4 linked regions of the Drosophila melanogaster genome follow. Changing the gene in region 1 together with any one later gene gives a genetic interaction. Each region holds a gene or a part of one and is shown in the gene's direction. Other genes may lie near its edges.

The links.
Region 2: of Hsp83 (region 1) and sina, changing one enhances a phenotype caused by changing the other (phenotypic enhancement), as found in Drosophila melanogaster (2 studies listed by BioGRID).
Region 3: of Hsp83 (region 1) and Raf, changing one suppresses a phenotype caused by changing the other (phenotypic suppression), as found in Drosophila melanogaster (one study listed by BioGRID).
Region 4: of Hsp83 (region 1) and lz, changing one enhances a phenotype caused by changing the other (phenotypic enhancement), as found in Drosophila melanogaster (one study listed by BioGRID).

Annotation. Positions count from the first base shown.
Region 1 is NT_037436.4:3,190,357-3,198,716, forward strand, and holds Hsp83 (heat shock protein 83), read left to right. Parts: upstream 1-2,612; 5' UTR 2,613-3,011; intron 3,012-4,142; coding exon 4,143-6,296; 3' UTR 6,297-6,703; downstream 6,704-8,360. Other genes in the region: CG14958 (uncharacterized protein), read left to right, coding at 1-180; CG14965 (uncharacterized protein), read right to left, coding at 401-2,074; CG14966 (uncharacterized protein), read right to left, coding at 6,742-7,164; CG32276 (uncharacterized protein), read right to left, coding at 7,965-8,075. UniProt on the Drosophila melanogaster protein: Molecular chaperone that promotes the maturation, structural maintenance and proper regulation of specific target proteins involved for instance in cell cycle control and signal transduction. Undergoes a functional cycle that is linked to its ATPase activity.
Region 2 is NT_037436.4:16,850,870-16,860,407, forward strand, and holds sina (seven in absentia), read left to right. Parts: upstream 1-2,881; 5' UTR 2,882-3,656; intron 3,657-5,049; exon of another isoform or gene 5,050-5,115; intron 5,116-5,427; 5' UTR 5,428-5,548; coding exon 5,549-6,493; 3' UTR 6,494-7,843; downstream 7,844-9,538. Other genes in the region: Zcchc7 (zinc finger CCHC-type containing 7), read left to right, coding at 1-1,347; Rh4 (rhodopsin 4), read right to left, coding at 1,823-2,370; sinah (sina homologue), read left to right, coding at 8,389-9,444. UniProt on the Drosophila melanogaster protein: E3 ubiquitin-protein ligase that is required for specification of R7 photoreceptor cell fate in the eye by mediating the ubiquitination and subsequent proteasomal degradation of Tramtrack (ttk).
Region 3 is NC_004354.4:2,292,304-2,299,470, forward strand, and holds the start of Raf (Raf oncogene), read left to right. Parts: upstream 1-3,162; 5' UTR 3,163-3,655; intron 3,656-3,850; 5' UTR 3,851-4,050; intron 4,051-7,167. Other genes in the region: CG2865 (uncharacterized protein), read right to left, coding at 22-386.
Region 4 is NC_004354.4:9,282,311-9,289,111, forward strand, and holds the start of lz (lozenge), read left to right. Parts: upstream 1-2,338; 5' UTR 2,339-2,426; intron 2,427-3,476; 5' UTR 3,477-3,610; coding exon 3,611-4,472; intron 4,473-6,021; coding exon 6,022-6,261; intron 6,262-6,801. Other genes in the region: c11.1, read right to left, coding at 483-639. UniProt on the Drosophila melanogaster protein: Involved in prepatterning photoreceptor precursors in the developing eye; in the larval eye disk it defines a subset of cells as an equipotential group that is competent to respond to the sevenless developmental signal and another subset that confer proper photoreceptor identity by positively regulating the homeo box gene Bar.

The DNA of each region.
Region 1 (8,360 bases):
TGTGCTCCCAACTACACCTTCGCCTGCACCTCGCGCTCAACCTTCGCCTTCTGCTTTGGCGCCATAACGCCCACAAATGTGACGGGCAGTTGCCCGGATGGTTACTTCTGTGACGCCTCCACCCAGGAGATCTGCGTCACCAAGGCCACTGATGACTCCATCATCTGCCACTTGAATTAGCCTCGCTAATTATTGGATATAAATAAATGATTTTGCCTAATAATATATTGCTTTTGTTATTAAATAAAATTCGTTTTGGGTAAATGGATTTAAAAGCGTTTTTTATATACACCTACTTTATTAGATGCATCGGAACTGATGTTATGCTTAAAACTAATATATAAAATAATTTATCAGTAAAATACCCCTTATATTGCCAAGTCTATAATGGCAAAATAAACTATAAGTCTAGAAACTCTTCCGAATTTTCCGTATTTTTTTTCTCCAGCCAGGAGCGTGCAATCCGCATCGAGGGCAGGCGGAAGCGCCACTCGTCGCAACAGTACTTGTACACCTCGTCGCCCAGTTGAAGTAGTTCGGTGGCAAACTCTCGCTCGTCATCCTTCCAAGTGCGTTCCTCAGAGCCGCCGAACATTTCCATGCGCAGCAATGCGGCCATCGTGGGCCCCACGTATTTCTTTATTGCCATGTATAGCTGGGGTTTGCTTAGAGAAAGAGCAGTGGGTTTGATTGCAGCTGAAGTCCACGGGGACTCCGCTTGCAGTCGTTTTAGTTTGGCATTCTCCTCAGACAGCTTTTCAAACTCGGCCTGCAGTTTATCGTACTCCTGAAGAAGCTTATCGCGATGGGCATCTTCCGATGAAGATGGTTTTTCATCTGGTTCAGACTCGTCCTCACTGTCAGTACTAAGTGGTATGTTCTCTTCAAGGTTTAGAAAAGATTCAGATAAGGTTTCGGAAATGGAATCACTCTGACTATTTTCTTTGCTAGAACTAAGATTAATTTGGATGGATTGGGTGGGTTTCTCCAACATCGGAGTCTTCTGCTCATCCCAGAATTTCTCTTGCAATTGTGTATATCGGTTCAATATCGTACCGTTCTCAGGTGAAGCGTGGGAGTCAGTCTTTTGTGCTTCTTGGGGTAGCTTCCTTTTCTTAGCCTGCTCCTTGGTGGATTCATCTTCGTTCAGTCTATCAGCATCTGCCTCCTGCATCCCACGTTTTCTAACCACAGTCCCTTTAATTGGTCGGTACTCTTTTCTAGTTGGCACTTGCTTTTCTTGACATTTATCGGCAAGCTTTGGCATTTTCATAACGTCAATAATACAACTTTTTGATTTAATTTGCTTTTCTGATTCCTTGGTGACTGTTCGCATCTTGCTTGTATCATCAGTTTGTTCTTTTGGGAGCTGCTCTTCAAGCTGAAACAACTCATTCTCGCTTCCTGATTGACGCTTTACTGGTCTTTTAATCAATTTGATGCCCAATGAAGGCTGAAGTTGACTTATGATATCTAGAATGTTTTGAGGCATAGCCGAAGCGCTTGTTGATGTTGTAGAACTCTTATGCGCCACCGTTGTTTTCTCCGTGTGTACAACCGGCTGTTCCTGCTCCGTAGCCAGCACTTCGTCGGCTTCGTCTTTCCCTTGCGGTTCCTCCTCTTCTGTCAACTCTACTGTATTTCGTTTCTTAACAACATCCAAATTCTGTGTCTCACCATCCACGAATCCCAGAGGACACTCGAAATCTTTAGGTGGTATTAGGTGTTGCTGCTTTGGAGGCGTCAACTTCACGAGAAGAGCTTCACCGTTCTGGTCGAGATTTTCATAGTCTAGTGCCAGATCCCTGTTGATCCTGAACAAAGTGGGCGTCTGCATTGGGATGAGTCTGTCCATTTTGTAGTTCATGAAGCATTCCGCTCGAAAGTGCCGGGCACAAACTGTTTTGGCTGCCAGTTTGGACGGCGGTGCATTTGAAACGTCAGGGTTTGAACAATTCCTGACCCAATCTTTCAACCTCTTCGGATCCTTAACGGGGAACTTGAAGAAGTGCATATTGGGGTTGCGGCTAGAACCCACCGGACAATCACGAAAACAACACTTAGTGCCGCCCATTTGTTTAAATATAAGCAAACAACTTTTATGTTATTAGTGGTGGAAGTGTTAGCGTCAGCTGGTGATATCGATGGGAGGCATCGATAACAGAATTGACCGAAACCAAATGATCGATATGACACTTCTTAATTAATGAGAGATTTTTTACTTGACTGGGCTTGTAGCAGGTTTTGCACAGAAGCAATTATTTTCCGGAATGTGAAATGTCTGCTTTTTAGCTAATTACAACAAAAACTTTCCAATTTTTGTTCCCCAAACCCACTCAAGTGATTTCAAATTTTACCGTCCGCTTAAAATGGAACTAGTTTATTCCAGAGGAACCAGCTTGCACCACCAAGTCTCTGAAACTCTGGAAATATCGATAGTCTGGTGGAGAAAAGTATTCATAAATATAAATAAAAATTAACAGGTCATAAGCTGATTTGTTTATTATTTACTGTTAAAACAAGTAAAATAATATTGGGAACAATTAAATTTTCCATTTTCCTAATTACAGTATAAGCCTAGTGGGCGTTTTGATATCCAATTGTAATGTTTTAAGCAATCCCAGTGGGCTTTGCTCAATCGTTCGGACCACTTAGACGAATTTCCACCAAACTTAGTTCAGTATAATTTTTGAATTCGCCCGCACAGGTTGCGCACTTTTCGACCGTATCACAACACTGATCTACCCTAGTATTCACAGGAAGTTGCATCCCTGGCATCCAGAAGCCTCTAGAAGTTTCTAGAGACTTCCAGTTCGGGTCGGGTTTTTCTATAAAAGCAGACGCGCGGCGTTTGCCGGTTCGAGTCTTGAAAAAAATTTCGTACGGTGTGCGTCGTAACAACAAGCAGCGTCTGAAAAGTTTTGTGAATTTCCAATTCTATACAAAGCAAAGTGAAAATATCTGTATTTTTACCTTTATTCTGTGAATAGAACGAAAAACATACATACAAGGTGAGTAATGCAAATTACAAGAAAAGAGTGAATAGTTTATCAGTGGCTATGGCCAAAATGTGCATTTTGCGTGGTCCTGTGCATCTCGAATGTTCTTGACCCAAATGTGAGATATTGATTTTAAATTTCTAGGAGCCAAGTTTAAGAATTTTTTTTGATTAATTAAGAGGTGGCAACGTGCAAATTAACTCAAAATGCCGGTTTCTTTTATTTTTTGTCGCTTGGACGCATCTTCCAGAGGTTTCTATGCTTTAGCATGAATTAAACATCGTGCCAAATAGGCCTTTTAATTATATATTACTGTCCTTTATTTACAATTACATGTGGTTTATAGAATACAAGATTAATTTTTGTTTAATGCAATGGTCTTTTAGCGCTAAATCGAATTATGCCGCTCTTTTTAGGGGGTGACAATGCGCAAATCACATTTGCCGCTCGAGAATGTTCTAGAGGTTTCTATGCTTTAGCATGAATTAAACAGCGTGCCAAATAGGCTTTTTAATTATAAATTACTGTCCTTCATTTACAATTACACGTGCTTTCTTTGCATTCCCATTTTAAATTGCACATGCCGCATACGCACACATGCACGCCCATGACTAATACTTTCAAGTAAAAATGTGGCGTCAGTAAGCAAATTCTGTTAAATCGGTTTTTTAATCCTATTTGCTCTATTTTAATTGGTTGGTTGCTACTAGCAACTTGCTAGGCGAATTAGTTTTCCTTTGGCTTCTAGATGCTTCCACAAACTTCCTTGGTGAAGTACGAATTTTCAATGCAATGCTCACTCACACAGACACGAGTTTGCACACAGCAGGGGTAGAAAAATTATCAACCGACCCAATTTGCATAATTATATTTAAATATTTAAATTTAAAACATTATTTTGCAACTTAAAATCAATTCTGTTGGCTAATTGAAATTAAAATTCCATTTTACGGGTTGCAAAGTGAATGCTATAATTTTGACCACCACTGTACTTGTATATGCGCATGTTAAATGAGGCATGTGCAAAAGAGAAAGAAAGAAAAAGAATAAAACCGGAGCAGCTGCTGAAAATGCAGCTGCTTTTCCTTAGTGTTGAACCCACAGACTATAACTAATCCTAATGATTTTGTAAATCCATTGCAGATGCCAGAAGAAGCAGAGACCTTTGCATTCCAGGCTGAGATTGCTCAGCTGATGTCCCTGATCATCAACACATTCTACTCGAACAAGGAGATTTTCCTGCGCGAGTTGATCTCGAACGCTTCCGATGCCCTGGACAAGATCCGCTATGAGTCCCTTACTGACCCCAGCAAGCTGGACTCTGGCAAGGAGCTGTACATCAAGCTGATCCCTAACAAGACGGCTGGTACTCTGACCATCATTGATACCGGTATCGGTATGACCAAGTCCGACCTGGTCAACAACTTGGGAACCATTGCCAAGTCCGGAACCAAGGCCTTCATGGAGGCTCTGCAGGCTGGTGCCGACATTTCCATGATCGGTCAGTTCGGTGTGGGTTTCTACTCCGCCTACCTGGTCGCCGACAAGGTGACTGTCACCTCCAAGAACAACGATGACGAGCAGTACGTGTGGGAGTCCTCTGCCGGAGGCTCTTTCACAGTCCGTGCCGACAACTCTGAGCCCCTGGGCCGTGGCACCAAGATCGTGCTGTACATCAAGGAGGACCAGACCGACTATCTGGAGGAGAGCAAGATCAAGGAGATTGTTAACAAGCACTCCCAGTTCATTGGCTACCCCATCAAGCTGCTCGTAGAGAAGGAGCGCGAGAAGGAGGTCAGCGACGATGAGGCTGATGATGAGAAGAAGGAAGGTGATGAGAAGAAGGAGATGGAGACTGATGAGCCCAAAATCGAGGATGTTGGCGAGGATGAGGATGCCGACAAGAAGGACAAGGATGCCAAGAAGAAGAAGACCATCAAGGAGAAGTACACTGAGGATGAGGAGCTGAACAAGACCAAGCCCATCTGGACCCGCAATCCCGATGATATCTCCCAGGAGGAGTACGGCGAGTTCTACAAATCCCTGACCAACGACTGGGAGGATCATCTGGCCGTCAAGCACTTCTCCGTGGAGGGTCAGCTGGAGTTCCGTGCTCTGCTCTTCATTCCCCGTCGCACGCCCTTCGATCTCTTCGAGAACCAGAAGAAGCGCAACAACATCAAGCTGTACGTGCGTCGTGTCTTCATCATGGACAACTGCGAGGACCTCATTCCAGAGTACTTGAACTTCATGAAGGGTGTGGTCGACTCCGAGGATCTGCCCCTCAACATCTCACGTGAGATGCTGCAGCAGAACAAGGTCCTAAAGGTGATCCGCAAGAACCTGGTCAAGAAGACCATGGAGCTGATTGAGGAGCTCACCGAGGACAAGGAGAACTACAAGAAGTTCTATGACCAGTTCAGCAAGAACCTGAAGCTGGGTGTGCACGAGGACAGCAACAACCGTGCCAAGTTGGCCGACTTCCTTCGCTTCCACACCTCTGCCTCCGGCGACGATTTCTGCTCCCTGGCCGACTACGTGTCGCGCATGAAGGATAACCAGAAGCACGTGTACTTCATCACTGGCGAGTCCAAGGACCAGGTCAGCAACTCTGCCTTCGTGGAGCGCGTCAAGGCCCGTGGCTTCGAGGTGGTCTACATGACCGAGCCCATCGATGAGTATGTCATCCAGCACTTGAAGGAGTACAAGGGCAAGCAGCTGGTCTCTGTCACCAAGGAGGGTCTGGAGCTGCCTGAGGATGAGAGCGAGAAGAAGAAGCGCGAGGAGGACAAGGCCAAGTTCGAGAGCCTGTGCAAGCTGATGAAGTCCATCCTGGACAACAAGGTCGAGAAGGTGGTGGTGTCCAACCGCCTGGTGGATTCGCCCTGCTGCATTGTCACTTCGCAGTTCGGCTGGTCCGCTAACATGGAGCGCATCATGAAGGCCCAGGCTCTGCGTGATACCGCCACAATGGGCTACATGGCCGGCAAGAAGCAGCTGGAGATCAACCCCGATCACCCAATTGTGGAGACTCTCCGCCAGAAGGCCGATGCCGACAAGAACGATAAGGCCGTCAAGGATCTGGTCATCCTGCTGTTCGAGACCTCTCTGCTGTCCTCTGGATTCTCGCTGGACAGCCCCCAGGTGCACGCCAGCCGCATCTACCGCATGATCAAGCTGGGCTTGGGAATCGACGAGGACGAGCCTATGACTACCGACGATGCCCAGAGCGCCGGAGATGCCCCCTCGCTGGTTGAGGACACAGAGGACGCTTCCCACATGGAGGAGGTCGATTAAGCGACCAGTCGAAACAAACAACCAAAATTCATTCTATCACTCGCATTCACATACACAATTTACTTGCGTTTCGAACTTTTATACTGAGTTTACTACGGCCGAGTTAAATTTTGTATTCATTAACATTTTGCCGCGTTATAAGCGACAGACATACGCTTAACTCATAAAAAAGCAGGAATAACTCGTTAAATGGTTAGGTTCTCACAGAACATTCAAGAGCAGTTGTCGTTTTAAGAACTTATAATTTAGAATCCAAGTAATTTATGTAAAAAACTAAAGACTACATACGCGCCCTAGTTGGTAGAGCTATATAAAGAATCGAGTATATATATAATTAAGGTTTGATGACCCGATCGATGATAAACATAAAACCAAATAAACAACAAGCAAATGTGTTTTAAAAATCTAACTTCTGAGCGAGTATTTATTGGGGGGAATAAACAATCTATGAATCGGATTCTTTGCGCAGCAGCTGCTCAATGGCCTCCACCGTGGACACTCCCTTGGTTATCATTATTATCTTGTTTCGCGATCGAGATCCCTTGTCCAAAGAAACGTCGCTCTTTCGAAGACCTAGAACTTTCGACAGAAACTTGACCAGTTCGGCGTTAGCTTCTCCCTCGCTGGGCGGAGCGGCGATTTGGACGCCCACTCCTTCAAAGCCAATTCCTGTGATTCCGTTCTGCTTAGCCCCCGGCTTGGCAAGGATTTGTATGCATATATTGCCGCTCTTATCGACTGAAATCGGACTGGCTTCCTTAGCCGGCATCGCTTTTGCATCGTTTTTCGCACTTTCAACGCCGGCCTTTGATTTCCCCTTGCTCTTCGACATTATTTGGGCGTTGACCGATGTAAACAAGCGGCGCATTAGCTTCTTGGCAATTATTTTAAATATTTTGTGTTTTTAAATGCATTTTAATAGCAACTAGTGTTTAATTTTGCGAGGTCTACTGGCGTCTATCAGCTGATTCGTGGAGAAAACCAGGGATGCGCACATATAGGGATGAGCATATCTCGTGAGTTCTCACTCACGAAACGAAGATAAAACTACATTTTTACATTCCATGTAACTTACAGATTGGACATGAATAGTACGATTCAAAAATGTATTTTTATTTTCCTGTTGAGTATTATTTAACGGTTTTCTAAACACATTCCCCCCGAAGTCACCACAACATGTAAATAAAAGTATTAAAACAAAATATGATTAGGTAAAAAATTATCATATATTCATCATTGTTATGTACTCATAGTTTCTTCTCTACTCGTCTTTGCATTAGAAAACAACGCTTTAACACTTTGCACTATTTAAAACTGCGCCGAGAAGCATCTTAAAAATGCATTTATCGCCTATAAATGATCGGGGATCATTATTCAGTTGCTTAGGAGAGAATTGCAGGAATGCACATTGCAGAGCTTACAGTTAAATCAATTAATGCAAAATGCTTTAAATGGACTTAAATTTTGTATGTGTTTTATAGGAGTTGATATTGCAGAAACGATAATAAAGCCAAGTTGTTTGGGGTCATCCTCTGGTTGCACATGTTGCCGGGGACTATTAAGCTAGGGAAGGTGTTAGTAGTAGCAAGTGAAGGTTCCGGAAAGGTCTATTATCTTCCTCCAGATGCACCTGCTCTCTGTGTATCTTATGCGAGGTGAAGCCTTTCCTTACGCGGCGCGTATCGACTGAACAATCTGGAAAATGGCAGAGCCGCAGACCACAAAGATGAACAGCGCCAGGAGCCAGGGACCCACCGGATATTGACCCTCTTTCGTTTTCTGCGAAAAAGAGAAGTTCAGATTAGTCTTGTCACATCTTGTATGGTGAATATATTGTATATTGCATTAAGAGATTACTGGAAATCGTCGATGGGATGGCAACATCTAATCAGAATTTCCAGAAGTGCCGATAACACGCTCATACACACGCCAGCCTCCGCACACATACAAACATGCATACATATGACCAATAATAAAATCAATGACGGCGTGGCACTTTTCGCCATTTGATTATCGAGCAATTCTAATCGCAATTTTACTGCTATCTCCACTTTCCCCAATCAG
Region 2 (9,538 bases), about 14 Mb from region 1:
ATCATTATGGCGCGCGAAGAATCCGAGTACCTGTTCAGTGCGGAGGGCCGAACTTTTCTGGCGGCAGCCGCCAAACAGTGTCATGTAAGCGTGCGGATGGACTTTAAGGACTACGGTTATGTACTGGTGATATATGGCCTTAAAAAGCACCAGGAAGAGTTGCAAGTGAAACTGCTTCGACGCAGTCAGGAAGTCAAGCGCAAGAGCATCGAGTTCCAGAGCCAGAAACCCCCCAAACGTATTGATGTGCTGATCCGCTTTCTGCGGGATGGAATCAACAGTCTAAACACCAATCTAGGAAACGCCAAGAGCCACTACGTGCGCATCAAGGAGCTAGAGGGGATGAACACCAAAAACGGTTTTAAGATGGCAGAAAAAAAGCGCCGCCAGCTTAACATGATCCTCGTCGGCCAGGCGGGACTCCTGAATGGCAAAACACATCTCGATCAGTTGCTAGTCTTATTGCGTCGCCTGATCGATGACTTCTCGCCAGATGAACACGCCACGCCACAGTTGCGCAATGAGATCGAGGAGCATTGGCGAATGATCTTCTCGTCATATCCGCATCCGAATTACGACTCTCTGCTAAACAGCTATGGACGTTTGGATCAAAAGAATCGCTTGCCCTCGTTGCACATAGATCCTGTGCTGTTGGGACTGCAACAAAAGAAAACGCAGAGTCAGCCGCAATCGCCTAGTAAGGGGCCACCATCGCCAACGCCTCTCCCACCAGTTCGGCAGGACATGGCTCCACCACCACCTCCTAAAATGTCAAAGAAGAAGCAACGTCAAGCCCTGGATCAGCAAACACAAAATCAACAACGGCAGCAGCAACAGCAACAGCAACGTCTGCAGCAGCAACATCAAAACCAACAGCAACGCTTGCAGCAGCAGCAAAAGCAACAGCAGCAAAGTCTACAACAGCAACACCAGCAACAACGTGTGCAACAGCAACGTATGCAACAACAGCAGCAGCATCAGCAGCAAGACAACAACCAATATCAGCAGAATCTACGACGTCCACAGATCGACCAGATGCCCTACAATAATCTCCAGCAACGATCACGATCCGATCTTCAGCTGCGCCATACTCTCAATCCGGAGTGTGACCGTCTGTTGAGTGAAATGGATCACAATCAACCTGGCAGCATCAACAAGGACGCCAACAAACCGTCCATGTTCTGGTCACGCGAATCGCTAAAGTACCTCGATGATCTTTTCAAGATGACCTCCAACACAGAGACCGTAGAGCGGCTGAAACGAGTGCTACAGCGATCGCAGCGTGGTCTGCTGTCGCACAACGATTACCGAGCGGTCATTCGACTGCATTCCCTGATGTGCAACTGAGGATTAGCCAGGGTCATGGAATTTATTTCCTGGTGGGTCACCTTCATTTTGTTTAACAAATGCCAACAGATTTCACAATGGGTATCTTAAAGATATTACCCAAAAACCGAATAAATACATAACTGACTATTTTGAAAAAAAAACTCGATTTTATGATTTTATTAGGAATGAAGAGGCTCCAAATAACTGTGTAAATGTGTTTAGGATTTGAGTTGAATTTGTTATTTAATTTTTAAGTGTAAGTGTAGAAATAGTAACAAAATAATGACATCAAAGAACCGAATTTCAAATAAAAAACGGGACTCATTTTCTACTTCGTTTGCAATAAGTTACTATTTATTTATTTCAAACTCAAGAATGTCACACTACAAATTATAAAATTAATGTTATACAGTTTCGTTGTCGGCATTTTATACTTTTTCCTTGGCTTTCATGTTACATGGTCAGTTGTCTTAGAGTAGAGTTGTCCTTGGTTCTATGCAGCGGTAGTCTGTTGCTGCTCCTGGGTGGTCGTGGACTGCGCCGAAGAGATCTCCCCAGACTTTTCGTTGACTCCCAGCCAGGGACAGCGCTTCTGCAGCTCCAAGCGGTATCTGGGGTGACTTATGGCATAGACGAATGGGTCTATGCACGCCACCAGTTTGCAGGTGCAGGCCGGGATCATCGTGGCTCCTGGTGTAAGCAGACTCTTATCCCCGAATGCCCCGATCAGCGACATTACGCCGTAGGGCGTCCACGACACGAAGAACAGGAAGCAGATGGTGATAGCCGCCTTCGCAATCCGTATCTCCGCCGTCTCCTTGCTCTTGTCCACATTGGAGCGCAGCGACTCCACGTTCATTTTCTTGGCCTGCTCCCGTAGGGCCTTTTCGTGGCTGAAGACATGGCCCACGATCTGCGAGTAGTAGTAAAGGATCATCAGCGTGGGACACACGAAGCTGAAAAAGAAGATGGTGCCCACAAACAACCGGGTGTCAAAGTTGTCCGAAAGATAGTCGAAGGAGCAGGACGTGAGGTAGCCCTCTGGAAATGCATAAAAGTGAAGAAGATTAATGGGATTTTTGGTATTAGGATATTTATTTACTTCATATTCGTAAAACGCAATTTTACTCTTTCGTAAATTTGTTTCTTCGAATTTCCCGATCCAAACTAAGTTCTTAAACATTCCCGCCAATGATGTGACACAAGGTCAAGGTATCACCAATCAATATTTTTATTTAATTTTTTGTATTGCCTATATTATTTGATTGGAAATACTATAAATCATAAAAAAGTATTTATTAATGAATTATTTTAAAAATTAGGCTTTAGTTGTCAATAAGAGTAACAGACTACATTATTAACTTTGATCCTTTAAAAATTATGCGCCTGATTCGATTTGTATTATTTCAAAACTGATGTTTTCCTGTTATTAAATTAATTTGACAAACGTGGCAAGGCTGTTAAGTAATCGATGACAGCAATTGATAGCTACCAGGAGGCACTGCGATGTTGCCGATTGCGTGTAATCGACTATCTGGAATCGAATAGACGACAATTGGGGTTCCATCTCTGCAACCGACGCGGACATTAGAAGAAACTCAGTATAGTAAAGTAAATTAATTAATTAACCAGCTAAAGGCAGACATCACGCCCAAAGTACATGGAGAATGCCGAAAAAGACTGAATTCCACACCGCGCAAGGGCAAGTGCAATAAACGCCGACTGCGACGATCAAAGAACGCAATATAGAAAAAGTGAGACACACGAAAAAAACCCATTTCGCTGCCTGTGTGTAAATGCAAATGGTTTATTTTTGTGCAGCAACAACAACAACACAACATCAGCAGCAGCAGCAACACAGAGGCAGAAAAGGCGAAAATAACTAGTAAAGCTAAATATGAATAAATGTGTATGTGTGCGGGTCGCGTTAAAGAAAATTAGATAAAAAGCCAAATGAAATTAGCTCACGCCTGAATTTCGAGTTTCGGTTCGGTGCAAGGTGAACGAAAAGGCGAAAAGCAATCAAAACAGTTTTTCCATTTTCCCAGTGTGCGTGTGCAGTAGCAAAACCACCTGCATTGGTTATATATATATATGCGGTTAAAAAAATAACAAATTGCAACGTAAAAAACGGAACTTGCACCTAGGATATATACACACACATGCTGGCTGTATGCGTGTGTGTGTGTGCATGGCCGTAAAGGCTGACTGACTGATAAAAAAGGAAACAAAAAAATAACAAGAAAATAAAATATACACATACACACACACACCAACGCAGCGGGGCACCAATACCTCGGCACAATTTCTTGGAGGCAGCCTGCCATGTAAGTTTACATATCAACGATTATGTATTTCGCAGTTGTTGTTGCTGTTTAAACAGCAGCCTAGTCGCACTTAATGGCGGCATAAATTAAAGAAAGATAGTCGCATTTCGCTTTGCTCCGCAACTTACGTTTTCTATTTTACCATTTTGCAACTCATGAAAGCAGAAGCTAAGTTAATTATATTCATGGCTATGACTTTTGTGGCAATTACCATTTTTACCCCGTATGAACGTTTCCAACGGTACGCAACGTAAACGAACTGTTAATTATGTGTGTGCGATCTGTGTCTGTGTTGTAAGTGTGTGAGTTTCCCTCCCCGCGGCTGCCATCCCCTACCGCCACCCACCCCCTACACATCCTCGTTGCATTTGTTACGTTACGCACTCTTCATTACGATATTACGTTTATGCGGGCGATGGTACGAATTTCATAATGGCAAATGTTCAAATAATTTTTCCAATATATAGGGTAAAGTATTAAACATTTGTATGTTCATGCGTTTCATGTGTTTTTGTTTTGGGTTAATAAGGAAACATATTATTTATTTTTTAGGTTTGAGTTTGTTTTCGAATATAAACAATATTACTGAACTCCTTTCACACAAAATTTTGATAGCAATCATATAGCAAATATATTCCCGTTAGGAAAGAGAACAAGTTTTGTTTGTACATCAAAGCTAAACAATTACGAAAACTTTATATTATTATATTGATATTTATCTTATAAACGCACCAAAGCACCCACAGCATATTGTTCACACTAATGTGTGCCCATTCTGTCCAAAGTGGACAAACCCGTGAAACCGAACCACACCCATTACAACCAGCACGACACCCACCATCGCACAATCCCGCCATGGGTCGACGTCCCTAATGGCCGTCCATCAGCGTCGGCTCCGTCAGCTCCGCCTGATAAGAGCCAACATATTTGCGCCGTTCCACACGTGCCGCCAAGAGGCTTTTGGGCTTGGGCTCGGAGTTGGAATCGGAATCGGGCCTTCATTTCGATCGGAGACGTGACGGCGACCTCGGGCTGTGTCTTTGCTTTTCGCAGACCAACTCCGGTTCGATACGTTCCGCTTTAAGTAATTGCTTAAATGCAATTCCCATACACGCAAATGCGTGTGTTTTCTTTTTTCGGTAATTACAACAATTGGGAATCCACGGCAAGGTTAAGGCCAGGAATGATAAATCGCTTTGGCTTTTCTATTGGGCGGCACGAAAAACGAACTACCTAGTAGTAGTGATTACGCGAAATAAGTTTTAAATTAATAAGGCTCAAATTAAATTATTACAAATGGATAGTAGTTTTGCTGGGCAACATTTTTTATAGCAATCGAGTAGATTTTGCTTACACAGTTTGCATTCATTTCATTTCTATTACTTCATGGAAAAATATTTTTGCCTATTACTCATGTCCCAGTGGGCACAATAGTTTGGAATGAACATTCAAATCAATAGTATGCTCCGAACTTAAGCCGCAAAATCGATAGAAAGCTCATAACATATGTTCAAATTTAAACCAGCATTTATGCAGTGTGTTATACTGTGATTTTTTTTGTTGGTTGATATATGTTATTTTTGGATTAACTAAGCCTAATCGAAACAAACTATTTTTGTTAAGATATCTGTATGGTTTTGTAGGTTATTGTTTTTTGGAGTTTCTTATCACTGAACGAACAAAATTACAAAAAAAAGAAAAAAAAATTATACATATGCTATGACTAAATTGACCGCATTACTCACTGACCTGTGATTGTATCTCATTTTAGACAGAAGCACAAGAAAGCCATTGCCGAAGCCACCGGGAGGGCGAAGAACCTGAACCTGGCGAGAATTGCAGGGACCCAGAAGAATTGTAGACACATTCGTGCCGTTGCGAGAACCCTTCCAATGTCCAATAAAATCAACCCGAAGCGCCGCGAACCGACAGCAGCAGCAGCAGGAGCCGGTGCCACGGGAGTGGCCACCAACACGAGCACCTCGACCGGATCCTCCAGTGCCGGCAACACGTCCTCGGCCAACACATCCTCGTCGTCCAGCTCCTCGCTGTCGTCCGCCGGTGGCGGTGATGCGGGCATGTCCGCCGACTTGACCTCGCTGTTTGAATGCCCCGTGTGCTTTGACTATGTGCTACCGCCGATCCTGCAGTGCTCCAGCGGGCACCTGGTGTGCGTGTCCTGTCGCTCCAAGCTCACCTGCTGCCCCACCTGCCGCGGTCCGCTGGCGAATATCCGCAACCTGGCGATGGAGAAGGTTGCCTCGAACGTCAAGTTCCCGTGCAAGCACTCCGGCTACGGATGCACCGCCTCGCTGGTTTACACGGAAAAGACAGAACACGAGGAGACGTGCGAGTGCCGGCCCTACCTGTGTCCGTGCCCGGGCGCCAGCTGTAAGTGGCAGGGCCCGCTTGACCTAGTCATGCAGCATCTGATGATGTCGCACAAGAGCATCACAACGCTGCAGGGCGAGGACATCGTGTTCCTGGCCACCGACATCAACCTGCCCGGCGCCGTCGATTGGGTAATGATGCAGTCCTGCTTCGGCCACCATTTTATGCTCGTGCTGGAGAAGCAGGAGAAGTACGACGGACACCAGCAGTTCTTTGCCATCGTTCAGCTGATCGGGTCGCGCAAGGAAGCGGAGAACTTTGTCTATCGCCTGGAGTTGAACGGAAACCGACGCCGGCTCACCTGGGAGGCAATGCCGCGTTCGATCCACGAGGGCGTCGCTTCCGCAATTCACAACTCGGACTGCCTGGTGTTCGACACGTCGATTGCGCAATTGTTCGCCGACAATGGCAACCTGGGCATTAACGTGACCATATCTCTGGTCTAAACGCACTGTCAATTCGTCGGGTTCTTTCATTTCTTGTGTTTACTATTCCGATACAAATACATATATAGTTTATAGCCCTCTGTTCGCATCAGGCGTCTAACTCGTGGACAGATTGTGAGTCTGGAGATTAAGAAGAAAGAGTTTTGCAGAGTTGTTTTATAAAAATGATTCTCTATTCTAAGAGCCACTTACATGCATATGTATATATATCTATGGAAATATCAGGCTGCTTCGATTATCACATTCGGCACGATATCGCAGTTTTCTTTGATTTTTAAGCTAAGACACTCACAATTTTCCAAAGCGAAATGGAAAGCGTATTAAAGCAATTGCTAAGTGATGTTCAGTGTTTATTGCACACGTTCGTTAAACCTGTAAAACCGCGTTTAAAATTCGTATTTTCATTTTTAGTTTGCACATGACTGTGTGTAAATCTCACTCGTTTGCAGAAAAATGCCAAATATTTTTGGTGAGATTTCGCAGATTTGTATAACACACTTTCCTGTCGAATGCGAAAATCGTGGCTGACCTGTATGTTTGTATGTTTAATCGGTTCGATTGGTACTCTAGTTCTAGGACATGATTTTTCAGTTACCGCACACACAATACTATATATTTCAAAGTTTCAGTGTTACCCGTTTTGTTAGTTCATGGGGTTCTGCTTTAGTTTAATTTAGTTCGTAAGGTCCACACACCTGGAGCAGAGCTGCCTGCGCGTGCCCACGTGCCCACCACCTACTACAGTGAACGCTAGGAACACACAGACCCACTCACCAAAACGAGGAGAACAGCAAGAAAGGCGAGGAGGTCACTCATCCACTCGAACATGTACTGCAAAGTCTAGTTTAGTTAATGTAAATTATTTTATACAATACTTGTAAATGGTAATAAGTAAAACGAACAGTTTAACGAAATTAACAAACCTAATAACCCACAAAGAAAAGTAATATTTGATAGCGATAATCTGTAATAACTCGAGAGTTGTTTGAAAGTTGCAGCCTAAACGAAACTGCGACCCGCAATTTTGTTCATGCCAAACCATCACAAAATAACAAAAACACACTAAAAAAAAAAGAAAACATTTTTTTTCGCAATGCTAAAAAGACAGTTGCCCCTTCCCATTTCCCCCCAAGTCCCCCCAAACATATAAAGCAATGTTAATGTTTAAATTTCTATCTAGTTAAGACGATCTCCCCGGTTTGGCTCATGTTTTGGTTTTGATTTCCATTCGGCCAACGTTTCCCAATCGAAAACGGAAGAAAAATTAATGATTTTAAGCATCTGCACCGTAATTAGCTTTTAATGCGCCGATTTACCGCGCCACTACCATATGAGATCACTCACACAGACACAAAACTACAAAACTGAAATAAACATGATTAGTAAAAGTAAACAATGCTCGTTAATTATTGAAATTAATCTGGGGGAAGCTGAATTACAAAGAAGAGCTACGCCACTTTATAAACTTGTCGATTTAAATCAGTTATCTGTTTAATTTGGATTATCTTTGAGATACTTGGGTTACTTCTAATGCGTTTTAAAACGTTGCAATAATAGATGGCACAAGTTTTTAGTGGTGCACCGCCGAAGCATCTTAAAGATTTAGCTGGATTGGTATCTTACTAGGATACTTAGGCCAATTTCAAAAATAAATTTTTAAGCTGATTTTAAAATGATTTAAAGCAAGTAGGCTCCGAAGTAAAAGTAGCTCATTATACTTTTAGCTTCGTTGTATTGTGGTACAGATTGTATTTTCGAATTCTTTTAAGCAAAATTTCAGTGTTCAGAAAAAGTAAAAAAAAAGTAAAACCATCGGCACTCTCATTCTTCAGAATCGTTTGGTTGTTAGGTCTTAGGATTAATAGCTTGCGCATTGATTGTTGGCTGAAGCACAGATGTCTGTTCGCAACTCACGCCCCCAGTTATCGTGGCCGGAGCGGGTAAGTCCGCAAAGGACTATTGACACTCCAACGGCATCCGGAGAAATGTTGACTCGTCGTCAATCGGCACCAGCGTTGGTCGTGCCGCCGGAGGAGACCACGCACGTTGTGGTGGTCAAGCGGCAATCCCCGGACGCAGCCGCTGCCGGAGAACTGGTGCCGTCTAGGCGGAAGGACTCGGTGGCTGTGCAGTCGGGAATTGTGGCCACTGGGCCATTGGACACAACACGCAGTGGTGCAAGAGACGATTTTCTAATGGCTTTGCTCGAGTGCCCGGTGTGCTTTGGCTACATAATGCCGCCAATTATGCAGTGCCCGCGTGGCCACCTCATCTGCTCCACCTGCCGCTCAAAGTTGACCATTTGCCCCGTCTGCCGGGTGTTCATGACCAACATCCGCAGCCTGGCAATGGAGAAGGTGGCCTCCAAGCTGATCTTTCCCTGCAAGCATTCGCATTTCGGCTGCAGAGCGCGGCTCTCTTACGCAGAGAAGACCAAGCACGAGGAGGATTGCGAATGCCGTCCGTACTTCTGCCCGTATCCGGATGACAAGTGCTCCTGGCAGGGACCGTTGAGGGACGTATACCAGCACCTGATGAGCTCCCACGAGAACGTGATCACCATGGAGGGCAACGACATCATCTTTTTGGCCACCAATGTGAATCTGGAGGGTGCCCTCGACTGGACAATGGTGCAGTCCTGCCATGGGCGGCACTTCCTCCTCTCGCTGGAGAAGATCAATTTGGGAGAGGACTGTCAGCAGTACTTCACCGCCTGTCGGATGATCGGCTCCATGAAGGATGCCGCCGAGTTCGTGTATAACATCTCCTTGGAGGCCTATAATCGCACTCTCCGCTGGCAATCCAAGCCAAGATCAATCCGTGAGAACTTCTCCTCGTTCACCAACGCCGACTTCCTGGTGCTCAATAAGCACACCGTCGAACTGTTCTCTGAGGACGGTAATCTTGCCCTGAACGTGGTCATTAGGAAGGTGGAGGAGCGTACCAACTAACCCCTAGCGTATCCGTATCTCTGCCCCCCCCTATAAATTGGACTTTCGTCGCTGATTGGTAGCTGTTAGCGTGTTAGATAAGTGCATATTAAAT
Region 3 (7,167 bases), on another chromosome or scaffold:
TAAATTGAACTGTCTTCTCACCTGGGCAGATTCTGGAGGTAGCGCATCTGCTTCTCGCGCCGCAGTTCGTCATTCAGGCGGCAGTAGGTGTTGTTGATGCAGACGCTGCGCCGCAGGTTCGCCTCCGAGTCCTTGATCCTCTCCATCTTGTGGGCGCAGAGCTGGAGGATCCGCTTGCGCTCCTCGCGCTGCCGCAGCTTTGGCGAGATCATGGGCACACGGGAACGGTGATGGTGATAGCCGATGGGCGGGGAGCAGCGGGGTGGTCCAAACATGTCTGAGTCTTCGTCGCTGCTGCTGCTGTTGTTACTGCTGATATTGCTGTGGTTGTTGTTGCCGCTGCCGCCGTCGTTTGCAGATGCGTGTGTGTTTGTGGGCAAGGTCATTGTGCGTTTTTCAAGCAAGTGTGTGCCTTGTTTGCTGGCTTGTTTATGTGGTTTTCTTTGACAGACAGAAAACAACTTTGCTGCTTTGATTTGCAATTTAATTTTGATTCGAGTGATTTTCGATAAATTATTTGAAACAAGGAAGTCACACCACTCGGCTCACATACGCTCTCTTTTGCGAGCTCTTTTTGCTCTCTTGCACTTGCTGCTGCTGGTACTGCTGGTGCTGCTTCTTCTTCTGTCTGACTTTGCTTTTTCTTTTCTTTTTGCTGATTTCTGTTTTTCTTTTTGTTGTTGCCTTGCGAGATTTCACTTGGCTGTTCACCGTTAGTCGAGCCTGCCGCTTTTGTTGTTGTCTTTGAAGTTTGGCAAAATTCAAAATAATCCAGGACTTTTGAATTTTTGTGTTTTATTTTTTTTTTTTTTTAAGAACTTGCACTTGCTTACGCTATGTAGTCAAACACAATAAAAAAATTCAACAAAAATTGTCAGATTTGTTTGTTTAGTTTTAGGCACACAATTGACTCAAAATTGCAGAGGGGTCGGGGCTTCACATTAATTGTTTCTATTTCTTAGTGGTCTCTTCTAATTTTTCGGTGGCCGCCTGTTGAGGGTTTAAGGTGAGGGGTGAAGAGAACTTTGTGCTTGGTCACCGTGGCTTACTGTTTCGGTTCCTGTTTCAACCGCACACGTCCGCACGGTTCTCGCGTTCGAAACGAAATAAAAACGCAAACGCTAAATGAAAGACGTTCGCTCGCAGCCGCTGCCGCAGTGGCGTCGCTGCCTCTGCCCTCGGTGGCAGAGCGCACAGATGTTTGCGTTCAAACGGAAGTGGCTTAAGAGAGCGCCTAAGAGAGAGAGAGTGAGAGAGCGAATGGCCTACGTGCGTATTTGTACATGCATACACACAGCTGAGGCAAACAAATAATAACACCTAGGCGCTTAAATAAAAGTTTTTAGGCCAATCGTCTCAAGCTAAATGATTTGATTTACTTTATATAGGTGCTCTGTATGAACTAAGTTAATTGACATATTGCATTAACAATCTTTACAGACACAATAATCTTAGTTCCAACTTGCAAATTGCTAACATAATTTTTCCAATATTCCCACATATCTTAAAACTGTAATTACATTTTCAGTGCTATTCTCTCCACCTGCACTGTACATGTGTATGTATATTTGTCGCAAAGATTTTTACTCATTTGTAACGGAAGCAAATCGCTGGTCAGTGGGTGGTGTATTTGTGTTGTCGTGGGTGTTTGAGTGGTTGGGCGCTTCGGTGATGAGCATAATCCGCATAGTTGTTGCTCCTGCCCCTTTATTATGTAAAAATAGTGACTTTGGCTGGATTTGGCTATGCAAAGTACTTGCTAAGGCAATCACCTACACTTGCGGCAACTGCTAATTGAGAAATCCACACGGCGCTGACATGGAATCATTCGAATCCATTGAAATTGCCAAATTAGGCGTGGGGGTAACCCCTTGAACTTATCGGCTCGGCTTAACGGGTTTAACAAAATTAAATACACACATATGCGCATGTATACATATGTTCATGCTTGTAGAGTGGCTCCTATAGTCTGTTTTGCGAATCAGAATCCAAGTAGAATAGTTTTTTAAGTGTTGTCTCAAAGATGTATGCATACATGGATGTATGTATGTATGTGTGCTTATGACTCTGTAGAAGGTCTATAAACTATGTATTTTGAGGTTTTGAAATGCGAGCTCGAATCAACCCCCTTCCCCGTTTCCAGCTCGATTCATCCTCTTCAACAAGTTCATCTCATCATTTACAGTTTTAGCATGATCCGAAAAATAACAACAACAACAACGACAACAACAAAAGCAAGAAAGTGGGCACAAATAATCGTAACAACAACAATTGTGAGGTCAGTTTGGCACTAGTCAGCGTGTGTGATTATGTGCGCACTTATGTCTGCGTGCATGTACATACATACATATGTTTGTGTGCGAGCACAAAGAGACAATGCAAATTTGCACTCAAACAAAGAGAGAGCGAGTGCAAGTGCGAGTGCGAGAGAAAGGGAAGAGTTCATGAGCGTGCGTTGTGAATGGCTGGAGGGGTCGAGTGCTGTGAGTGGGGGGATCTTTGTTTATCATTTTTGTGTACTATTATTAAGGCGCCGCTGACGGTCGATGACGACATACACACACACACACACACACACACGCAAATGCAAACATAGAGTTTGCACGTGTTTGTGCAAAGTGTTTAGCCGCAAGAAGTAAAGTTCTCGTTTTGATTTTGTTTATTCAAAATTGAAATTCCCAGAAACAAAAGCTCCCATGACGATGATGATTCACATGCCAGACGCTGCGGGGAAAAACATCAGGAACTTTATCAGCTAATTGTGTCACAAGAGGACAAATAAGCCAGAAACATTTGCCTGCGCGCGTTTCTTGGTATAGTGCCATCAACTCGATCTCGATCTCAGTAGTTCATCTTTTATAATGCCCACACACACATACATATGTACATATATGAGCATATGTACATATGTACATAAGTCATATGTACATATATGAGCATATGTATGTACATAAGTCATATGTACGTACATACGTTTTTGATTATCTTAAAAAATTGTAATCACACGTACTCCTGCCATTTGACTTAGACCCACTTTCGATATTGACAAATTTTCAATGGTTTTACATTTTTTCCCCACCTCTATTCATAATTTCTGTGTCTCTTGTGTTGCTTAAATGGGCCGTTTTGATTTCTTTCGCGTCTCATTCCAATTCCATCCCTCTTCCATTCCCATTGCCACACGCTTGGCGCTCTTTTGCATTTTCTTAAAGTCGCCCAGATAAGTTCGGAATTACGTAATTAAGCGGCAGCAGCAACAACAAAAACAACATAACCAACAAGCTAACAATTAAGTATTTATTGCTTTCAATTTGCTGCCCGATAACAAAAGAAGCCAAAAAACAAAAAGGAAAAACGAGAGACTGGAAAAAACAAGCAGAACAAAGTAAATAAAAACCGAAACGGACACACATACACACACACACACACCGCTACCTGCGTCGACAGCGGCAGCGAAATCAGCGCCTCGCTTCAATTTTATTCCGTTTGAATTTGAAGATGTTTTTAGTGCACTGCCATTAAGTCCTTAGCACGCGCTTTTATTTCGCTTCGTTTCAATGTGCAGGTAGGAATAACAAAAAGCGGAGGATGGGAGTGACAACGAAATCGAAACTTTGCAACAAAATTGCATTTGAATGAGCAGCGGGGGCGCGCGGTAATTTCAATTATCAATAACATATTTAAATTCCCCATTCTCCTCCCCTTCTATTATCCTCTGTCCCTCCTTCCCCCCTCCACGGACTCCTACACCTTTTTTAGTCGCTCTCTCAACTCTTGATTGCTCTCTCTCTCCCTCTCTCTGTGCGATGGGAACGTTCTCTTTGCCTTTGCATCGGCCACTTCACTTCAGCGGAGAGCACAGTGGGATAAATTGGCAGTTGATGACCCATTGTTGCATTATTGTGTTTTAACCATAAAGCCAACAAATGCTTGGCGTTCAAGCCCTTCATGGAGTAACGCATATCAACGGATTGTCGGGGATTATCCAACGTCTTAAAGTCAAAATCTTACAAATCGCAGTATTTACCTGGCAAACGTGTTAATCCACAGGTAAGTTGGGCTGAAACCACCCTAAGTCAATATCAAGGGTTTTTTTTTAGATCTTTCTAAAGTTTAATTGTACGCATGTCTTAGCTTCGAATTCTTGTCATCCGAAATGCTTTGTTGTCCATTTGTTCTTGTTCTGGCCCACTGTGCCGCGTGTGAATGAACGTATAAAAAGTGAGAGCGTCGCCTGCCCGACTCATAAACGAAAATCAATGACTCCCAATGCGCGTACCCTTCCCTCACCCCCCTGCGGAGCCCAACGCTTTTTGGGAGTGATAAATGCCGCCTCAGCGTCGTCAGCAGATTTCAGCCTGCGCATGTTTGTCGGCCCGCAAACACTCGCAAACACACACACACGCTCTTCCCGTGATGTTTGTTGATTTGGCTGCATTCAAGAAACGACAGTGCTTGGGGCAGTGGGCATTGTTAGACTTTTAGTCGTTTCAACTCTACTTTCAGTGGGTATCATCCGCAACCAAAAGGAGGAAGGATGAACATTGCATGTGTGTACATACATATGTACATACGCAGTACGTAGTACGGATTACGTATTACGTATGGGCAGTTGCCATTTATGCAAGGTGGCTGTTCCTGCACTCGAACACATGTTTGTGTGGTCATTTGTAATTTGGTCAGGCGAGCAACAAGAAAAAAGGATAATGAAAGGATCAAATGTGCGTAGAACGTACATATAAAGGGTGTGATATCACAATTATTTTCGATGACTTCGTTTAATGTTGGAAAAGTAGACGGGAATGCATTACATCGAAGTGAACTATTTAACTTTGGATAGAACTGTTGTTTTTTGTAGGCATTTGCATTTCTCGCCGCTTCTTCTGCTCCTCCTCCTGCTCTTCGCTTTGGCGTTGGCGAGAGAGCGCCTCGTTGGTCTCTTTGTGTGTTTATGCTTTCAACATTGATACGTGCCACTTTTCGGATGCAGACTTGCGAGAAGCAGCGGGGGGGGGGGGGGGGGAAGAGGAAGTGGCAGAAGCTGGTAGACGGGGGCAACGTGTGGGGACAGCTGGGTGAGTTTGTAATTAATTGCGGCCTTGCCTCCCCTTCACCGCCAAACATCCTCATCCCCGGCAGCCAGGCTCCCTCGCTCGCTCAGGCAAACTCTCTCGCTGAGAAACCAGCCGCCAACAGTTTGTTTTCTTTTCTCGCCGCTCTCATCGTCACTTCCGACTCGTCGGGGGCAGAGGGTGGGCCAGCGGCATACTCTTTGTCTAGTCGCCAATCTCCCCGCACTCCACTTCATTCATGAAGCACAAAGTGTACAGCAGACACTCGCTAAGTGACTAGTGTTTCGTAATTCATTAAGATTTTTGTTGGTTTTCTTCTCTCATTTTTCCCGCACCAATTCTGCACTATTCACAAGTAAAAATGGCACCAACTCTCTTATTTGTGGGCACTAAAACGACCATGAATCGTCGTTCGGTGTTCACTGTACCTGCTGCCAGTAGCCCAAAAACGGACAGTGGCTGAGGCGTCAGCGTCGGCAGAGCAAAGAAAGCGCGCTAGTTACAGTTACAGTTACGTTACAGAGGGCCAAAGACAATGCTAGGCTTGGTTAACGGTAATTACAGCGTTTGTGGGGGGGGGGGGTGTGGTGTAGTGCTCGGGCGTAGCTAGGCAGAGGGATATTTGTTAATACATATGTAGCACTCGAATTCTTTAGTTGGTTTATAATATCATCAAGAATGAGGAAAAAACTAGCTAATTTGTTGATAAATGTTAAGATGCCCCTCTGTTTTAAGTCCTCACTAAGCCCATGAAAAGCACCGTTAATTGAGTGGGATGATCCCCATTGAAAGCGCAGTACTACAGCTAATTCCAATACCACTTTCAATATCCAATTGCTCGCCTTTCAATCGTCGAAACGGTGAACGAAGAGGAGAAAAGATAAGGGTATGTACCGAAATGTGGAAATACCCGAAAGGGCCATTGGAATATGGGATATTGAACCCTAATCGTGAAGACCTCGTGTTTTCTTTGACTCATCAGCCGATTTTGCGATAATGCGCTCTTTTTGGTATCCGTTGGATGATACATAAATTAAATACATAAATGATAACTTATAGAAACACCATACACAACTGTTTAGAAATTTGTGTCAATCACTGTGACTCACTCATGATTGGTGGCTCTATCCACTTGCAACTGCGGACTACGGACTAGGCTAAGAATTGCTTAGAATCGCTTAGCACTGAGAAAAATATAGGTGTTGTTTAGATTTGGTGCTCGGTTCCCAGGACACTCTCCCCAAATTGTCTTTAAAATACCGCATCGCTTGTTTGGAAACATGAAAAACAAACCGCAATGTTTTTCTTGTTGATTATGCATACATACATATGTATGTATGCATGTACATTCGTTTTGCGGTTAGTGGATTTTTTTTGTTTAAGTACCAAAGCATATAGTGATCCGAACGGCAAAACAATGCATTGCAGCATAATAACCTCAAAAGACTTCAAATATTTAGCTACCAAAAAGCGGTTAGCAACAACTACAACAACAACGACCCAAGGGCATGCCTCTTCTTCTTCGTCATTACTTCTTTTTCATTTCGTTCGTCATCTCATTTTTTGTTTCGGTTACTTGTGGTCTGCGATCGAAACACGAAATAAAATCTAAAAGTCGATGTCGAACTCGAAGTTTCGTGCGAGTACGAGTGCAGTTTGCTGGAAGGAGAAGGCAAGATGAAGTTTCTCGCTCCTACTCGCATTATCGTCGCATTGTTGTGTTTGTTTCAAACTATGTTTATGCGTAGACTTCAGGAACTAATTAATTCGTTAAATCCGAATCCATTCACAAATTGTCGATGCTTACACGCTTTCATTTGAATCGAAAACAGACATGGGTTTCCTTACCTCACAATTTCAGGAAACGAGCGGCGCATAAACATTGTAAGAATGCGTGTTTGCCGCCCTTGCTTGCATATGCGTGTATGTGAGTGTGTGTGTGGTTAAATGCAGTTTTGCCTTGTTATTGTTTTTCTGTGGCACGTTTCGATTTGGATTTTTGATTTGTGTGCCATTCGATGTGAGATGTACGTAACGTTGGCCTAAGGTAACGTAATGCGGGCCCATTCTTATGTTTTGCCCGCAAGTTGCAGTC
Region 4 (6,801 bases), on another chromosome or scaffold:
GATGATTAATCAAATCGAATTGAGTGCAATTTGTGGGTGTAATTGTGAAATGTTGTTGTATTGATTTGTCTTGCTCATAAACGTGTTCTAGATGATTTTTTAGGGCTTCACACACTCAACAGGTCCCCATAATACACACGTACATAGATACGAAAATAGAGTTATTTAGCTGCTCTCCTTTCGCTAAAAGGATTCCCCGTTACTTTTGGGCGCTCATGTGTGCGTTGTGCCTAATGCGTAGTTCTATTTTTAGAACAGGACAAAAGACTGCGCTTCGCCTAATCACAAATCCCAATTGGAGTGGGTGGGGTGGACGGGCAAAACGCCCATTTCACGCTAAATCGCTCTCAGCACTTGTGCTTGTGTGTGTGTGCGCTTTCTAATAAAAGATTCCATGGGTCCATCTTTATCTTTATCTTTATCTATGGGATTAGGCAGTGTTCCCTTTGTTTTCATTTTCATTTGCATTTTCGTTTGCTTACCTTCCAGAATCGTTGGCTTATCATTGGGCGCCGCTGTGGCGGTAGATGCATCGGCATTTCCAGTGGCGGCGCTATTTCCAGCAGCTGATTTGTTGTTGGCGGATCCTCCCCCTGTGGCAGCACCACTACCACCGCCGCCAACCCCTCGGCCGTCCATCTTCTTGGTGGAATTGCGCGTTCTCTTCCACTTCTCCAGCTTAACGGGATTTCAGACAGCGATTAACTTTAACGCGCACTTCGCGATCGCGGAAAAACTCGGAAAAACAAGAGATTCACTGCGTTGCGAAATTGTTTGTGTTTAAAACGGGTGGCTGCACTCACATAGGGGAAAAACGGCTGTGGAAATTTTAGTACGTTTTTTATCAACACCATGGACTAGTTGGGCTTCCGAACATGGTGTGTGCCCTCACTGTTCAGTGGTGGCGCAAACCATAGATGACCATAAAAATGAAATTCAAATGTACTGTGTATAAAATAATAGTTATGCATACAGTCTCGTTTTATTATACGGAATTAGCAATTAAGTAAATTTTAAATTTTAAGCTACACAGGCAGTACAGCATACTAATACAATATTAAAGGAAAAAACGCTTTTGAGGTAGTTTTGAAAGTATTTGAGAGCAATTGAAATGCTTAATTTTAATCACTTGATAGCACTTCTGAAATTAAATAGCATAGACATTTGATTTTCTCGCAATTTCTGCCCTCGCAGATAAGCTGACGTTCTTCTCACGCTATTATATTCCCAGCGATAAGAACTATTTCCCTTCGATGTGATAAGTCGGAGGTAAATTTAAAATAAACACTTTTTAAAATCATAAGAACTCTGCGTTGTTATTTTAATTCGATATCAGTATTTCGACCACAAACCAAGGCTGAACCACAAAATATGGCCCAATGATAGTCTCTTATCACGCCTTTCCTTCGCTAAAAAGAACACATGTCATTTGGAATCCTTGTTTTCTTTGCGCTAGCAACAACACACAGTTTTTAATTAACACTTTTTGCGATAATAGCAGATTTGATAAGCATGTTAAGTATCAGTTTTAAAGTAGATTCTCTGATTTTCATCTCTAATATCCAAAATGTATCTATATGAATACAATTTTCCATAAGTGCGTTTTAAATACATGTATGTTAAATTTTAAATAAAATAATAAAAAAAAAAACACAACTTATTTATTTTCTCATGAAAATCTAATCATATCCAGCTCCTAAATATTTTCGAAATTTCCCGGCTGAACAAGAGCGCCGCTCTTAAGTCGTCACGCTCTCAGCTGATTAAAGAGAGCGCGCTTAAATGCGATTCCAATTGGAAGTGGTTGCAGCCGGTGGTGGATGAAAATGTGTCCACCAATGGCGCGCCTCAAATGCCATGTCCACCTGACCAATCAGAATCCGGGGGCGGTGCCAAGTGCAAGGGAAACGCAGGAGCGAGCGAGAGGGAGAGCAACTGTTTATTTGATTAAGCATTTAAATTCTATTATTTTTAGCGAAATTTATTAAAAATTTGATGCAACAGCACTGCGTGGAATGGTGACTTGTCACAATGCACATACTAGGCCATGCATTTACAGAAGAGCAAGAGAGAGAGAGAGAGAGAGAGAGCGAGCAACTTAAGAGACCCAAAACGCCCCGGCCAAAGAGAGTCGTTCTCGTTCCAATTGGCTCGCGAGGCAAGTGGAAAAACGATTGGATTCGACTCAGAGCCGAGCTCAATCGTCTCGCGAAATTCAAGCGGCGCAGTCAAAAGTTAAAAGTCAGTTTCAGTTATGTTTTGGAGTACGACGCGCGAGCATTATTGTTTCCATTGTTAGCGAAGTTTTTAATCGACTGAAAGAAACACAAGAAAATAACACCTCGCTTACGTGTTAACCCTTTTTTTTTGTAACTTGTGCTTAAGTCACTTAAAGAAATACCGAAGAAAGTAAACTAAGTGTGTGTGTAAGTGTTAAACAAAGTAGTAAACAAAAAGCGCGCCAAAATCGGCTAACTTTTAGTTATTAACTCGAATTTCGTCACCAACTAAATTTAAACAAAAGAGCGACACAGTTTCGCCAGAAACTTGCATTCAAACATATTGTTAAACAGTTTTACATTAAACTAAACACAAACCAAAGTGCTATTAAGTGCAGTTAGTAACAAAATAAAAGTGATAAATGGTGACACAAACGAATTAAGGCAATGTTTTTATGACAAAAACTTAAGTTCATATTTTTTAAGGCTTTATTTTGCGACTGTGAAATAATTTGTTTACTTTGTTGCTTGTTCTCAAACAAATAATATACAATAGTAATTGTAAAAGCTTCTTATACATTGTTTGAATAAACAAATAACTGACTCTTTTACAACCATTTATGATTACTTGGGAGATCAGTTGTGAACATTAAATGTTTATATTGTACTATATTGTTTTTACACCGATTCCCAGAAATATCATCAAAGTTAAACTCGAGAAAAGGAGGCCCGTCTGCGAATCGGGAGTCAAACATAGAGTATTACTAATTAGCCGAGTGAAGTGCAAACAATAAAAATATCCAAATCAAACGAAATCAAATTTAATTAAGTTCAGAAATCATCTGGCAAAAGCATGCTCAAAAAAGAGAAAGAAAAAACAACAATAGCAACAAATGCACCGCTAATTCCTGTGACTAATTTATCAAAGTGCGAACTAGCAAAATGTCGATCGTCGTAGTACTCGCAGTTATTTAATATGTATTCAGAAAGGCAAACATATTTTTAATCATTTTTTAAATTTATATATATTGTTTTTTGCAATTATTTCTTTATTTAAACGTACGCCAGTGAACTGTTTCTATATGTACTTTAATTAAATTGCTTAATATGAAACAAATTTGAGATGTTGTCATGGATTGTTTTTAATGAATCGATCGGCATTTTAAGTTTTCAATTAAACACGAATCTTTCTCATATCGTAAGTGCAATTGCAAACAATTGTTAAGTACGCTTTTTTTTTTCTGTGAATTCGTTTAGAGATTAGAGTTTATTGATGAGTGAACAAAAGACACCGCCGGAGCGAAGTGTGATAAGCGCTTGACCTGCGACCCGCACACACTGCAAGAAAAAAAGGGGCAAGCGAGCGGATCAAAGGTCACCGCCGTCGACGAATGCATTTGCATCTCCTGGCGGCAGAGAAGACGCCTCCATCTCCATCTCCAAATCCAACTCCAACTCCATCAGCATCTCCATCTGGGCATACGGGCGCTGCTGGGGAGTCGCAATTGGACTTGGCATCGCAAACGGAATCGCAATTGCAGCTGGGCTTGCCATTGGCTTCCGGATACGGACTCGGACTCGGATTGGGACTGGGCTTGGGATTGGGACTGGGCCAGGAATTGGTGGCGGACCACAGCACCACTGTGGCGCCCGTCAGCGTTGCCGGTCCCGGCCGCCTGGGTCGCAGCATCAACGGCAGCGGCGGCAGCCACCACCATCACCACCTGCACCACCACTACTCACCGTACCACCACGCCCACCCCTACCACCCACCGCATCCGCACGCGCCCCACCACCACCACCACCACCACCCACCGTATCCGTATCCGCCGGCAGGACCACATCCGCCGGCCATGGTCACATCGTCATCCACATCGCCGACGGGCAACGGCTGGAGCAGCTCCACCGGCGACTTCAAGGGCATCACAGCGGTGGCGACGGCCACTGGCGGCGGCGTAGGTGGTGCCACCCAGGGCGCCACTGCATCCACGGGCGCCACAGCCGCTGAGGTTTTGGCCGTTTCGAGTAGTGCCAGTGTTGGCAGCAGCTCGCCCACAGGTGGCGCCAGCAATGGTACAGCCCATAGTGGGCATAGTGGACACACCGGCGGTCACAGCAGTAGTACCGCCAGCAACAACAACAACAACGGTGCCAGCAATAGCAATAGCAACAATAACAACGCCGTTCACCAGGATCTATTGTGGATGGAGCGATTGGTACAGAAGCGACAACAGGAACATCCCGGCGAATTGGGTGAGTTGTTGGTGGGATATTACCAATAACCTAGTAGTAACACAGTCTGCAAAAGGGTTAAGGATTAATAGCTACCTTAATGTCCTTCAAAATCAAAGTGAATATGAAGATATAGTCTAACTGGATTTGTAATTTCCCGTGAACAAAATTGATTGAACAGAGGGATTTAGCTTACTAACTGTAAATAGCAAATTCTTTGCTACCAGATTCCCAATATGATCTATGGTTCTTGATATAATATATCTTATGAATATAAGATTGATAGATAGATATATATATCAAGGCAAGCCTCTGCGGAGACAGCTCTTCCATTCACAAGGTATCAGCATCTTTAGCTCGTGTCGAGGGGATCTGGTGGATGCTTTGCAGGTCTGTTCGATAATCCGATCCCCGAAAGGTGGAGCGCACATTCTTGCCACATCCTTGCACAATGCACTTCTGGGGCTTCCACATCGTGGCAATCACGATCATCGGACGCAGCCTTATCGGATTCCATGGGTATGATGATCGTGATGATGATACCGATGGCGATGATGATGGTGATGCCAGTGAAGATGGGACTGGCATCGCCGTCGGAATATGCGTAAATTGATATCAATAATTGTTATTGATATCAACGCACGAGTCGTTCCCCTTTTTTATTTTGTTAATGCCACCTTTTTTTTTTTTTTCTTATTCCTTGCTGCCCGTTGAACTTTCCTCCCGATTTATCAATGATATCAATGACCCAGAGCGAAAGCTGCTAATGAAATCTCAGCTCATCGCACCGTCAGTCTTGAAATTAGCTGGGGAATCCGCAAACTGGTTATCCTATATGATTTTTTTTTTCACTTCTGAGTCCTTTCATAACTTGTGCTCAATGGATAGCCTTCATATCGAATTGCAACTATCAGGACTTTACACTCTTGTCTTAAAGTAATATTTATATTCCATTCCATTTGAGTTAGTATCGTACCTATGGGATTCAATCAGGATCTGGATGTGCCTAGTCTATTACAATTTATTATTACACAGTTTGGTTTTCAGGGCAGCGCACATTTGATTCCTGACACCTATGTAAAACATGATTTCCAAACCTACAGCGGTGTGACAAATTAAATTTAATGATTATCAGCAATTAGATGTCCATATTTCGGTCTATTTTGCGCGCCAGTCGCGAGTAAATAAATCATTTATTCAGCCAGCCCAGCTCTCCACACTTTGCTCTACTTTCGACACCAGGTCAACAGTCAAACGTCATCTGATAACCGATAACCCCTTCCGGTCCGGTCCGTTCGTTCCGTTCCGTTTGACATCTCCCCGCTCATTAATTAATTATGCACCGCCGGATGGCGAGTCGATGGTCGAAGGACCCAGTATCCAGCATCCTGCATCCAGTGTTCAGTATCCACGATGATTGATATTTATGGACCGACACGAAACTATAAATAATTGAATATTTTTGATGGCCGTGAAAATGTGATTTTAATCAGCGAACCCTTGGCTAATTAAAACCAAACTGATTTATCCTGATTTTTTTTTTTTTTTACCCACTTTCTTCATTTTCCAGTGCGCACGAGCAATCCGTACTTCCTGTGCTCCGCCCTGCCCGCCCATTGGCGCTCCAACAAGACGCTGCCGATGGCCTTCAAGGTCGTCGCTCTGGCGGAAGTGGGCGATGGCACCTATGTCACCATCCGGGCGGGAAACGATGAGAATTGCTGCGCGGAGCTGCGCAACTTCACCACCCAGATGAAGAACGACGTGGCCAAGTTCAATGATCTGCGTTTCGTGGGACGCAGCGGAAGAGGTGAGTTGCAGTGCTGTCCGAACGGTCACTTGGGAATTATAAGCTAAAATGGAGAGAAGAAGTGCAAACGGTAGGCGGTGTGAAAAAGAAAGGAGTTGGTAAACTAACTATCTTCTGTGAATCAGGATCAGATCAGGATAATATATAGTAATTTCTAATAACTGATGAAAATGATCTATATATAACTTATATACTTTATAGCACTTTATATCACCTTTGTGTTTTGGTTGACTATATAACATTTCTGAAAATTAAAGACTTCCTCGAGCACTGCAATCAGCACTTCCTTTGCCAAATGCCGATTATTGCGAGCCCAAAGAATGCTTCCCACAACTTCAAACGAGCGGAAGCTGTAGGTTTATCCTTTCAAACTTTCTTCAAATTACACTGAATGAAAATGATGCGTAATACGTTCAATTATGTATGCATAATTAACTTAATATGGCTTTAATTTCTAAAGACTTTTTTTTATTGAGAGTTACTTCTGTAACGCACACTTCATCATCAAGTATATGATGATAAAACTCTAACAAAATTTGT